Tamandua tetradactyla: one gene and its partners. The protein of the gene in region 3 purifies or fractionates together with the protein of the main gene of each other region. This does not show direct contact. Links are inferred from orthologs where the notes say so. Each region holds a gene or a part of one and is shown on either strand. Other genes may lie near its edges. The genes, in order: CCDC86, FTSJ3 and SRPK3.

Evidence for each region.
Region 1: the proteins of SRPK3 (region 3) and CCDC86 purify together in Homo sapiens (affinity purification with mass spectrometry; 3 studies listed by BioGRID and IntAct, with this or other methods). This does not show direct contact. The link is inferred for Tamandua tetradactyla from reciprocal best matches to the Homo sapiens genes SRPK3 and CCDC86.
Region 2: the proteins of SRPK3 (region 3) and FTSJ3 purify together in Homo sapiens (affinity purification with mass spectrometry; 3 studies listed by BioGRID and IntAct, with this or other methods). This does not show direct contact. The link is inferred for Tamandua tetradactyla from reciprocal best matches to the Homo sapiens genes SRPK3 and FTSJ3.

The regions. Positions count from the first base shown.
Region 1 is NC_135335.1:14,266,716-14,270,459, forward strand, and holds the start of CCDC86 (coiled-coil domain-containing protein 86), read right to left. Parts: upstream 2,957-3,744; 5' UTR 2,825-2,956; coding exon 2,124-2,824; intron 1-2,123.
Region 2 is NC_135332.1:4,996,648-5,000,391, reverse strand, and holds the start of FTSJ3 (pre-rRNA 2'-O-ribose RNA methyltransferase FTSJ3), read left to right. Parts: upstream 1-1,175; 5' UTR 1,176-1,307; coding exon 1,308-1,374; intron 1,375-1,543; coding exon 1,544-1,649; intron 1,650-1,992; coding exon 1,993-2,039; intron 2,040-2,162; coding exon 2,163-2,242; intron 2,243-2,663; coding exon 2,664-2,763; intron 2,764-2,855; coding exon 2,856-3,050; intron 3,051-3,744. Other genes in the region: PSMC5 (26S proteasome regulatory subunit 8), read right to left, coding at 99-170, 732-761.
Region 3 is NC_135353.1:6,037,135-6,040,878, forward strand, and holds the start of SRPK3 (SRSF protein kinase 3), read left to right. Parts: upstream 1-833; 5' UTR 834-1,166; coding exon 1,167-1,207; intron 1,208-1,277; coding exon 1,278-1,408; intron 1,409-1,514; coding exon 1,515-1,623; intron 1,624-1,754; coding exon 1,755-1,842; intron 1,843-2,161; coding exon 2,162-2,249; intron 2,250-2,635; coding exon 2,636-2,742; intron 2,743-2,815; coding exon 2,816-2,981; intron 2,982-3,098; coding exon 3,099-3,124; intron 3,125-3,699; coding exon 3,700-3,744. UniProt on the Homo sapiens protein: Serine/arginine-rich protein-specific kinase which specifically phosphorylates its substrates at serine residues located in regions rich in arginine/serine dipeptides, known as RS domains.

The DNA of each region.
Region 1 (3,744 bases), on a different chromosome or scaffold from region 3:
ATCTTTACAGCCCTTCTTGCTATCTGACATATTGTACATTTACTTTCCTTTAATAAAATCTGTTTTCCGCCAATAGAATAAACACCCCAGGAGAGAAGAGGTGTTGCTTTGGTTACAGCTGTGTTTGTCCCAGATCCTACATCAGCACAATATAGTGGGTTGAATGGGTCAATTACCTTCTGCCCTCTATTTGTTCAACCAAATGCTACCATGAGCTAGGCTCTGGGGGTCTGACCATGACAGATAAGTCTGTAGTCATGGAGCCTCTGGTCAAGAGGGGAAGATGGGCAGCCAAGAAGAATTACACAAGTAAACAAGCGTTTGTGAAAATGGGGATGTTATAAAAAGGAAGTAACTGGTACAGTGACAATGTATAGCATGGGACTTGAAAACTTAGATTGGACAAAGAGGGATTTTCTGAGGGGCTGACATTTAAACTGAGACTTGAAAGATGAGCAAGACTGGCCAGGGCAAGAGCCTTTCAAGGAGAAGGCACAGCATGAGTGATGGACCTGAGCACAGGCTACTGGAGGGACACAGGGGTGGAGGGGTCAGTGCGGAAGGATCGAGCGATGGTAGAAGAGAAGAGCGTGGGTTTATGGGGCTCAGACTCATTAAGGAGTCGGGTGTGCATGCTCTGAGCAAGTCAGAAGGGGTTTTCATTTGGGGTGGGGGAGCTGAGACAATACTCTCCCCTTCTACTGCCTCTTGGTCCAGCGATCTGAGTCTTCATTCCCAGTTCTGGCTGCTGCTCCTTGGTTTTCTCTGCTGGTACCCCTCTTCTCCCCATCTGTACACATGCCCAGCCCCCTCTTACTCAGTGAGCTCATTTTCTCTGCTAGACCTCCTTGCTGTGCCTGCAGCCTGAGTACTAGGCCCCCAGGCTCCCACACTCAAACTTCCTCACCTTCTCCTGCCTGAACCAACCTCCTAGCCTGGTTGTATATAGTCATTGGTGGCCCACCATTCTCCCTGTGACATGCTTGGAAGGCTGGAGCAAGGCGCAGTGGCAGCGCCACCAACTGCTCCTCCCCCTTCAAGCCACTAGAGCTTCCAAATCTGTCCAATTGGTGACTGGCAGCAAATGACTCTCTGAGCCTCAGTCTCTCCTCTGTTTAATGGGGGAAAATAATACCTACTGTTTAAGATTGGGAGAGTTCAACACAGTGATGTCTGCACAGAGCCTTGCACAAAGCTCAGTCTTCAGTAAATGTTGTTAAAAGCACCCTCCTTCCCTGCAATCTCTCATGGCTATGCATCCCTGATTGTCCTGTGCGTGGTTTCCATGAGCTAAAATGGGCACTGAATCCCACCTCTCCTTCTTAGTAGATAAACTCTTCTTCCTTCAGATACGTCTCCTTACTGCTTCATTCAACAAGAGTTTATTGAGCCCTTACCAGACCCATGGCACAGAAAGACATAGAAGACCTCATGCCTGACCTTAAGAAGGTTGAAATCTAAGTTAAGATAGATCCACTGGGTATGGGAAAAGAGATTTCATACATCGACTTCGGTATCAGATCTGTTGCCCTGGTTTTGCCTCTTCCACTCATTTAGCCTCCCTGGGTTTCGATCTCCTTACATGTAAAACAGGAAAGAAAATACTAGCATCATAGGACTGATGTGCAGATTAAACACTATAATGCATGGCACTCCCCTCTGCAAGACTCTCCCCCTACTCAATTCCTGCACAGTGTCTTACATCACCCATGCTGGAGACTCATTTTTATCATAAAGACAAATAAATGTAATAGATAACAGTGGGTGAAGACCTAAATGCTTTTATAAATTAATGGTTTACTTGCTTCTGCCTCCCTTTTGGGGGTGGAGTGGGGGTGGGGCAGACAATGGTAAATATCTATTGAATGGACTCAGAAATGAGGTGCTATGGGAGAGGTCCACAGGGCCCCTAAGAAGGAAGCGACCTTTGAGGGCATGGTCTCCCCCTCCCGGGCATCCCAGCCCACTTGACCACATTCTGATTGTCATCACCTGTTTGTGCAACACCCCACCACTGTGAGCTCTCTTCAACACTGCGGCTATCACTTCCTCCTAAGTTCAGGCTGCACGAGGGCGGGACCCCAATACTAGACAGGACCCCACTCCTGCCTATGTTATCTCACCTCTTCTTCGAGAGATCCTTCCACACCCGCCCGGACTTCGGCTTCCCCTTCGGAATCATCGGAACCATCTCCTTCTCCTCCTTTTTCAGTTTCTTGGATGCTGGAGCGTGGGCTGAAGAACCTCCTGGCTTCTCTGCCCCGAGGTCGCCTGTCACGGTGTTCCCTAACGGGAGTGGTTTGCTAGATTGGTGGTGATCACAGGGGAAGTCGGGTGATTGAGGTGTCAGCTCCTGGAGTGGCTGCGACGGCTCCGGACTTGGCGCTGGCTGACCCGGGTAAGGCTCTGGTGATCCTGGGCCCGGCTGCAGCCGATGTCGGGGAGACCCCGGGGCTGACTCTTCCTTACTCTGGGCTAACTCCGGGTCCGCTTCTCTCTGGCCCTGGGAGAACCTTGATGACTCCCCATTTGTTGTTAGCAGACGCCGGGAGGAACCCGGATCCTCCTCTGGCTGCCTTCGGGGAGACCCCAGGCCTGCACTCTGCCGGAGACTGGGCGACCCGGGGCTGGTCTCCGGCTGACATCCGGGGGAGGCCAGGCCCGGGGGCCGCCCACTCGGAGGAGACCCGGACTCCCTTGTTTCCTCTGGGTGCGGCTCGAATGCCAGAAGAGCCCGTCGCGCCCGTAAAACCGAAGGAGCGCTCTCGGGGGCTTCAGGCTTTAGGCCTTCCAGCCGCCGGCTGCGCCTCAGCGGCGTATCCATTGCCTAAAAGTTTCCAAGTCCGAGCACACGTGCAGACGCCGTCGCTTCTGGGACAACCGGCGCCCTCCTATGACGTCAGAGCCGTCCCGTCAGTACCCGCGGGCGGAGTACCTGTCGCGGGGGAAGCCATATTGGTGAGGGGCGGAGAGGCGGGGTTGACGGCCTGGGGAGGAGGGGCTGGGCTGGGCTTCTCGGACGCATGCGCAGTAGGCTTTGCGATCCTTTCCTGGAGAGCATCCAGACAGGGCGAAGGGCCAGAGACCCGTTTTCGGGAGAGAAACGGGTCGACAAAGGTCCAGAGAGGAAATTTGGTGGCTAACTCACTTCCTCTAGTTGGGCAAGGATCCTGCCCTCTTCGGGCCTTAGTTTTCTCATTTGTACTATGGCTGCTGTTGCACTAGCTTAGTGCATCTAGAACGAGCCTGCCCGAGTCCTCCTAAGTGCCAGAACGAATACTACCTGGGGAGTCTGGGAATGGAAAATGCCTTGTCTTGAGTTATTTGTTATATATTCAAACACGTGCTTATGTATAAAATCTATAGCTCTCCATTTCAGCGCTGTCAACATTTATGGGTGAAATTGAGGCTCCGTGAGATGCGCCACCTTTGTCCTTTGGCAGACAATGGGTCCTCACCCACACTGCGTGCTTTTGGGGATCCCTTCTCCTGCCCCCAGTTTGAGAAACATGGGCTGGATCATCTCCAAGCTCAGTTTCACCTGGGATGGTGGTTTTTGCCCCTGTGTGTGAACCTCCTCCTCCCTTTGCCAGGGTCTTGCTTGCTTTCCTATAATCACCTACAGATGTACTTTGTTCACAAAACTCATTGGGACCCTCACCGGAGAACAGGCTTTGCCTAGAGGAGACTTTTCTCTGTGCCCCTTTGCATGAGACCCAGGTGGGAGCTTTGTTTCACTCCTTG
Region 2 (3,744 bases), on a different chromosome or scaffold from region 3:
GACTCTTCCACTGCACCCTGGGATGGAATTCATGGATTTGCAGAAATGGGTTTCAAGCAATCATTCCCCTCCCAACTCCCTGTGGAATCCGTCCTCACCTGAAGTTCTTCAATCTTGGACAGATAATATTGGCGGAGTCCACTGCCTGCCTTCCCCTCTTCCAGCTCCATCTGAAGACACCATAATTATTAAACAACAACAGGCTAAGCATCCAAATGATTAAAAACCACAAGGCATAAATAACAGGCAGCTTTATGCGGTAAAAAAGAGCTTGGACACTGGAGCATAAGATTTGGATTCTAATCCCTTCTGAACCCCTCTGCAACCCCCCACCCCATTTTCACATGACTAAAATAAAATGAAAGCAGGAGGCTCAAGAAACGGTATACATTGAAAGCTTTGTAAAGCGTCGATCGCCATACAAACCCGAGGTGTTACAAGCGGAGAGGGCAGGAAGGACGGGTGCTCTGTCCCCAACCTACTTGCAACTCGCGGCTGGTCCCGATGCACTCCCATCACTCCTCTCACTTATTCCCACCGAGTCTTCCTCTCATGGCCCTGCCCTCATTCACCGGGGGCGGCGCTGACATAGCAGAATCGGTCCCAGGCAAGGCCCAGTCTGTATTGGCCCACCTGTTCACCCTAACCATCTTGCCCCGGCCTGATACCCATCTCGGTTCACGCCCGCTCTCCACCCAGCCTGGGTTTCTGACCCGCCGACATCAACATACCTGCTCTGGCCCATCAAGCGCCATTTTCATTCTTCAGAGGAGGCCGCGGGCATAGGAATCTTGGTGCGCAAGCGCACAAGCAGCGGCTTGGACAAGACCGAGGGCTGGTACAAAGAAGAGTTCCGGGTCAATGGGCGGGGTGTGCAGAAGGGTAACAGGGGCCGGGATGCTATAATTTCTCGAGTCGGGAGTTTTGGAAGGAGACAAGGATGGGACAGACCTCCCAAATGTTGTTTTCTAGAAGCTCCGTTTTTAGTTCACCCTCCTGGTCCTAACTTTCAATTTATAAAACTTGTGGACCGTGTATAGAACAAAGTTATGGCCACTCTCAAAATGGTGGAAAACTTGGAACCGGGGACGTAAGGGGCACAAGCGGAAGCGGAAGTACGTTTGCGGCTCGCGGTTCCTAAATGTGGCGGAAACGACGCAAGATCCTGGTGAGTGAGGTGGAGCAGCATGCGGCGTGTGATTGTTTGAGAAAGTAAGGCACCGAAAGTGTAATATATTGCTTGGGAGGAGACGTTCCCAACTTGTCGCACTTTCTCTCCAGATTGAGTGACACTCGAGTATCTCACCATGGGCAAGAAGGGCAAAGTTGGGAAGAGTCGGCGGGATAAGTTCTATCACTTGGCGAAGGAGACCGGTGAGTCAGAGTTCGCGCTGCAGTTAGCGAACATACAATCTTGGGTCTTTCCGCTCCCCTTTCCCGAATATTAGATTCCTCTTCCGCTGACGGTCGTGTGTCGTGAGGCTGCGGAGAAATATCTCATAAAACCCTGCATAGACTTCATTGTTTTGTCGCCGCTTCTCAGGTTATCGCTCCCGCTCTGCTTTCAAGCTAATCCAACTCAATCGCCGCTTCCAGTTCCTCCAGAAAGCTCGAGCCTTGCTGGACCTGTGTGCCGCGCCAGGAGGATGGTGCGTATAACACCCTTCACGGGTCGCGCTTGATAGTGTTTTTCGGGTTTTTAGTCCTGGGTGGTTTAGATTGGGAGTTGCGTTGGGGGAGGGATGAATTTGGGATGCTTCCTGCATTCTTCTCTCTATATACAATAATCCCAGCCTCAAACTTCTTATCTCTGAGCATAGATTTCTCCTAAACATTGGTGGTCTTTTTTTTTTTTTTTTTTTTTTGATTGCAGAGAAGAGGCTGGGAATGTGTACCTTTGACAGACTCTGGCCACTGCACTTGATAAGGGCTCCCTCCACTAGCGGTGACAGATCACATTGGGTATTTAAAAATGCTGTTTCTCTTTTATAGGCTGCAGGTGGCTTCCAAGTTTATGCCTGTGTCCAGCCTTATTGTGGGTGAGTGACAGGTGGCTCTCTTGGGTGTTTTAAGGGGTGGGAATGTGAGATATTATCTCTGTACTCTTCCTTCCTCCCTTTTCGGGGCAGCCCTTTGGAATACTTTGACCTGATTTCTTCCAGGTGTGGACCTGGTTCCAATCAAGCCTCTCCCCAGTGTGGTGACACTCCAGGAGGACATCACAACAGAACGCTGTCGACAGGTAATAAGAATCCCTCTCTTCTTGTTCCTTTATATGTAGACATCCGTGTTACTTCCTCTTCTCACTCAAATCCACTGAAGCAAGATTTTTCTGGATATTGTGCCCTGAGCAGTGGCACCGTGATGTGATGTTTCTAGTGTCTATTCTGTCCTCTGTTTGGGAGTAGGGAATGAGGTCTTTGGGACCTGAGGACAGGACAGAGATCTTCAGTGAAGTTCTTTCTGGTGAACTCCACTATTGGACTTTAAGCTCCATGAAGTCAGGAACATTATTTTTGTTCACCATGGTCTACCCCGCACCTAGAACAAGATTTGGCTCATGGCAGGCATTCAACAAATGAGTAGGGAGATGACTGACCCAGGGACTCCATTCCTAGGGACTCCTTTGTTTCTGCTGCCATAATCGTTTTACTTCTCTGTAGGCCCTGAGGAAAGAGCTAAAGACCTGGAAGGTGGATGTTGTGCTCAATGATGGGGCACCCAATGTTGGGGCTAGTTGGGTCCATGATGCTTACTCACAAGGTACCTGGGGAGGGAGAGATGAGGGTGAGGGCGGAGGTGGGCATGTCCTCTCAGGCTACAGAAGTCCCGAACTGACTGTCTTTATCCCACAGCCCATTTGACACTCATGGCTCTGCGTTTGGCTTGTGATTTTCTGGCCCGTGGTGGCTGCTTCATCACAAAGGTTTTCCGCTCTCGTGACTATCAGCCCCTACTATGGATTTTCCAACAGCTGTTTCGCCGTGTCCAGGCCACCAAGCCTCAAGCCTCTCGCCATGAATCTGCAGAGATCTTTGTGTTTTGCCAGGGTAGGCACCACTTTCTTCTTTGCCTTGATTCAGTCTCTCAACTACCAAAGCATACTCTTTTTCTTAATTTAAAATTTTTTTATTTTGAAATGTTTTCAAACTTACACAACAGTTATAAAAATAATACAAACCCATGGGGGAACCTTCAACATATTCCTATCCCCCAAGTTACTCAGATCCATAGAATAGGTGAACTATGTTCCTGTACCCCTCCATCCCCCCACCTTTATGTAGTTGTCATTACAAATTATGCACATAACTCATTATGAGTCCCAAACCACTGATTTCTCATACATTTGCCTTTTAGATCCTATAGGAAGTTAAAAATGGAGTTAGAAGCACGAAATACAATCATAGTGATATTTATATTTACCCTTGTCATTTTCCTTACCAGAGAATATTTATTTATTCTTGTGGTTTTGATCTATTGTCTTCTGTCCTTTCCTTTCAATCTGCAGACCTCTCTTTAGCATCTCTTGTCAGGTTGGTCTGATGGTACTAAACTCCTTCAGCTTTTGTTTATCTGGAAATGTCTTAATCTTTCATTTCTGGTAGACAGTTTTGTTAGATATGGGATTCTTAGTTGGCAGTTTTTTTGCTTTCAGACCTTTAAAATGTTATTCTGTTACTTTCTTGCCTTCATGGTTTCTGATGAGAAATACACATTCAGTCTCATTGAGGCTCCCTTGTATGT
Region 3 (3,744 bases):
TGATGCCTGCTGCGCCTTGGCGCCTTTCTCCCCAGCCCCCAGCTCCCTCCACCCCTTCATTATTGTTTGCCCTGCCCCCTCCCAGGGCTTTCCTGGCACACGAAGGCAGGACCAAGTCTCTCCCATCTTGGGATAGCCACAGCCAATGCCTAAGCCCCCTCTGCTTCACGCTGACAGCCCCGACGGCCCCCTGAAACTGGCCTCCCATCTCCACTCTTGCCCCCCACTCCCACTTCCCCGAACAAGCAGCTAGAATAATCAGATGAGCAAGAGTGCCTGTTAGCCTGGAAAGTCCAGGTTCCAGGTGATATGACACCCCGGAAGGTAAGCCCCGGAGGCTTACCTTCCCTCCCCCCTGTGCTGGGACCCCATTCCTCTCGCCTGAAGTCCCCGGATGCCTGCATCACTGCCCCACTCGCAGGGCTGGGCAGTGCTCATGTGCTGGTGGCTGCCGCGAGGACGCGCCCCTGCAGGCAGGGTGGGGGACTCCGTGCTGCAGCTCCAGTGTGCACAGCTCACGGTGGCACTTTCCAGATGCCAATGGAGATGGTGAACCCCGCCGGGGTGGCAGGCCCTGGGCAAGGCTGCCCGTGGGCTCTCCTGGGGAGCTAGGAGGGAGAGCGCGTGGGGTGTCGGCGAGGCCCCAAGGCCTCCACCCGGCAGACCGGGCACCTCTGGTGGGAGGAGCGAGGTGCCCTCGGCTCATGCCCTTGCTGGTTCCTGAAGCATCCCCGCCCCACCCAACCCCCAGGGCTGCAGGTGGGGAAGGGAGGGTGCTGGGCCTCTGCCAATTTCAGGGGCCAACGAACGACAGAAAAAGCGGGAACCAGGTTGGGAGGGGACAAAAATGGGGTTCCGAGGGAAATGAGAAGGGTCGCCCCAGGAGCTTGGCTCCCTCCCCAGGGGGCCAAGTGGAAAGCCGGAGAACGTTCCACGAGTGACACTCGCGGGGGCTCGGCCTGGCCACCGGGTTGCTGCCGGGCGACAGCCTGGGGCCGGGGCGCTCCCGGGCCCTCCCCGCGCCCGCATACCTTGCCCACAGCCGAGCAGCTGGGAGGCTATTTATAAAGGCGGGTGAGATCAGCAGGCGAGCCTATAAATGCTCAGGCCACGGCCGGGCCCCAGAGGAGCAGCCGGCCCCGGGGGCGCCGGAGCTGTGGGCCGGGATGAGTGCCAAGGCGGGCGGCGACAGCGGCAGCAGTAGCAGGTAGGGCCGGGCCGGGCACCCCAGGGCCCTGGGCGCCTCTCCGACCTCACGCCCCCGCCGCCCCCCGCAGCTCGCAGACCTCGTGCGGGCCCGAGTCCTCGGGCTCCGAACTGGCCCTGGCGGCGCCGGGCCCGCAGATGCTGCAGGGGCTTCTGGGCTCCGACGACGAGGAGCAGGAAGACCCCAAGGACTACTGCAAGGGTGAGGCCGGGGAGGAGGAGGGAAGCCGGGAGGCCCGGCAGCGGGTGCGGGTGGCCGGGATGGGGGCCGAGGGGGCCCGCCGCCACCACCCGCCTCCCCTCGCCAGGCGGCTACTACCCGGTGAGGATTGGCGACCTGTTCAACGGGCGGTACCACGTGGTGCGCAAGCTGGGCTGGGGCCACTTCTCCACCGTCTGGCTCTGCTGGGACATCCAGTGAGTGGGCTGGGGGGCCGCCCTGCGCCCCCACCCGGCCACCATCCTGCGCCCCCTCGGGTGGGGCGGCCTCGGCGCACCCCGTTGGTCCAGCCGGGGCCAGCAGCCCGACGCGGGCCTTGGCGTTGCAGGCGCAAGCGGTTTGTGGCCCTGAAAGTGGTGAAGAGCGCCGGGCACTACACAGAGACAGCTGTGGATGAGATCAAGCTCCTGAAATGTGTGAGGCGCCTCCCCTCCCCGCTCACAGCCCCCCTGGAGCTGCCCGGGGCCTGGCAATGCGGGTCCAGGGCCTGCTGGGATCCGCGGGGCGGGGTGGGTCGGCTCCAGAAGGAGCAGGGCTCCAGCTGGCCGAGCCGGGGTGGGGGGGGGGGGGGGAAGGATTTGGAGAAGCAGGAGAGAGGCAAGAGATGGCCTGTCTCCCAGCCCGGCCCCGACGGAGTGGGAGAGGGGGCCAGAGGCAGGGTGGGCAGCACCGAGAGGTGCAGCTAACTGGCACTGAGGGGCTTGGAGCCATCATGGCCCTTGGCTTTTGCTCCAGGTCCGAGACAGCGACCCCAACGACCCCAAAAGAGAGACCATCGTCCAGCTTCTTGATGACTTCAGGATCTCGGGGGTTAATGGCGTCCGTATCCTTGTGGGGTGGCAAAGGGGCCCAGCATGTGCCCTCCTAGCTCCCCGGGCCTCGGTTGGCTGATCTGCACAATGGGACTTGCCCCTTCCAGAGCTGTTAGTCTTTGAAACAGCCCCCACCACTTTGGGGATTTGCTTACAGGGGTGGGGAGCAGTGTTGGGTCATGGGAGGTGCAAATGGCAGGGGCCGCCCCTGTGGCAGCAGCTTCCCTTCGGCCTAGGAGCAGAGCTACCCTCTCTCCAGGATGACCACCAGATGTGCCATCCCAAGGGGCAAAGCCCTGGGAGTGACAAGGGATGCTCTAGACAGTTGTCTCCCAGCCCGGGCCCCGCCAGACGCCCCCTCGCCCACAGCCCCATGCCCTTCACTCGCTGGCCCCAGATGTGTGCATGGTACTGGAGGTGCTGGGCCACCAGCTCCTCAAGTGGATCATCAAGTCCAACTACCAGGGCCTGCCCGTGCCCTGCGTGAAGAGTATTGTACGGCAGGTGAGTGCCGCCAGCCGCCAGCCACCTGCGCCACCTGGCCAGGCTGGGGGAGTTCAGGTATGGCTCTCCCCAGGTGCTGCACGGCCTGGACTACCTCCACACCAAGTGCAAGGTCATCCACACCGACATCAAGCCCGAGAACATCCTGCTGTGCGTGGGCGACACCTACATCCGGCGCCTGGCTGCCGAAGCCACGGCATGGCAGCAGTCGGGGGCCCCAGCGCCCTCTCGGTCCACAGGTACCAGGGGCTTTGCACAGGGGGGGAGGCAGGGGCCTCAGCCCCACCCTGACTCTGTTTCTCCGCCCCCCCTGCCCACCCACCTCCCGGCTGCTCTCCTGCCCCCCTCCTCCACAGTCAGCACTGCCCCCCAAGAGGTTTGGGTAAGTTGGGGCACCCCTCTTCTGTTGCTCTCTGTCTCCCCCATCTGAGCCAGCTGGAGAACCCCTCACTCAGCCACATGGGTCCACCATCCCCCAATTTCCCTACCCTCTACTCCCCCGACCCCAGGCTGAGTGGCCTGGGTGCAGGGGCTACCGGGGCTGCTTTCCCCTGCCCAGCTGCCCTCCGTGGGCAGAGAGGAGTCGCTCAGGAGAGGAGTCGGTGCCCTCCCTTGGAGCTCCCGACAGGACAGGGCCACTCCCGTGGGAGGACAAGCTCCACTGGTGCTGGGCTGCGTGGGAGGGGGCGGGAGCACGGAGGGAGCTGGAGCTGGCGAGGGAAGCGGGCACCTGGGAGACGCGTTTGGGCTTTCCCTGCTGGGGGGTTGTGAGGAGCAGCGGGGCTTCCGGGGGGGGGGCGTGAGGGTGCGGATGGGAAGGAGAAAGGTTGGGGCTGGCCCCAGGGCTGGGCAGGTGTCCACGGGATCCCCAGGGGCCGTGGCCTTCTCCATTGTGCAGGGCAGGCTGGCGGGGTTGGGTGATGGGCGCTCTCGGGGTGACCCTGGCCCTGCCGGCAGACGGGCAGGCTGTCCAAAAACAAGAGGAAGAAGCTGAAGCGCAAA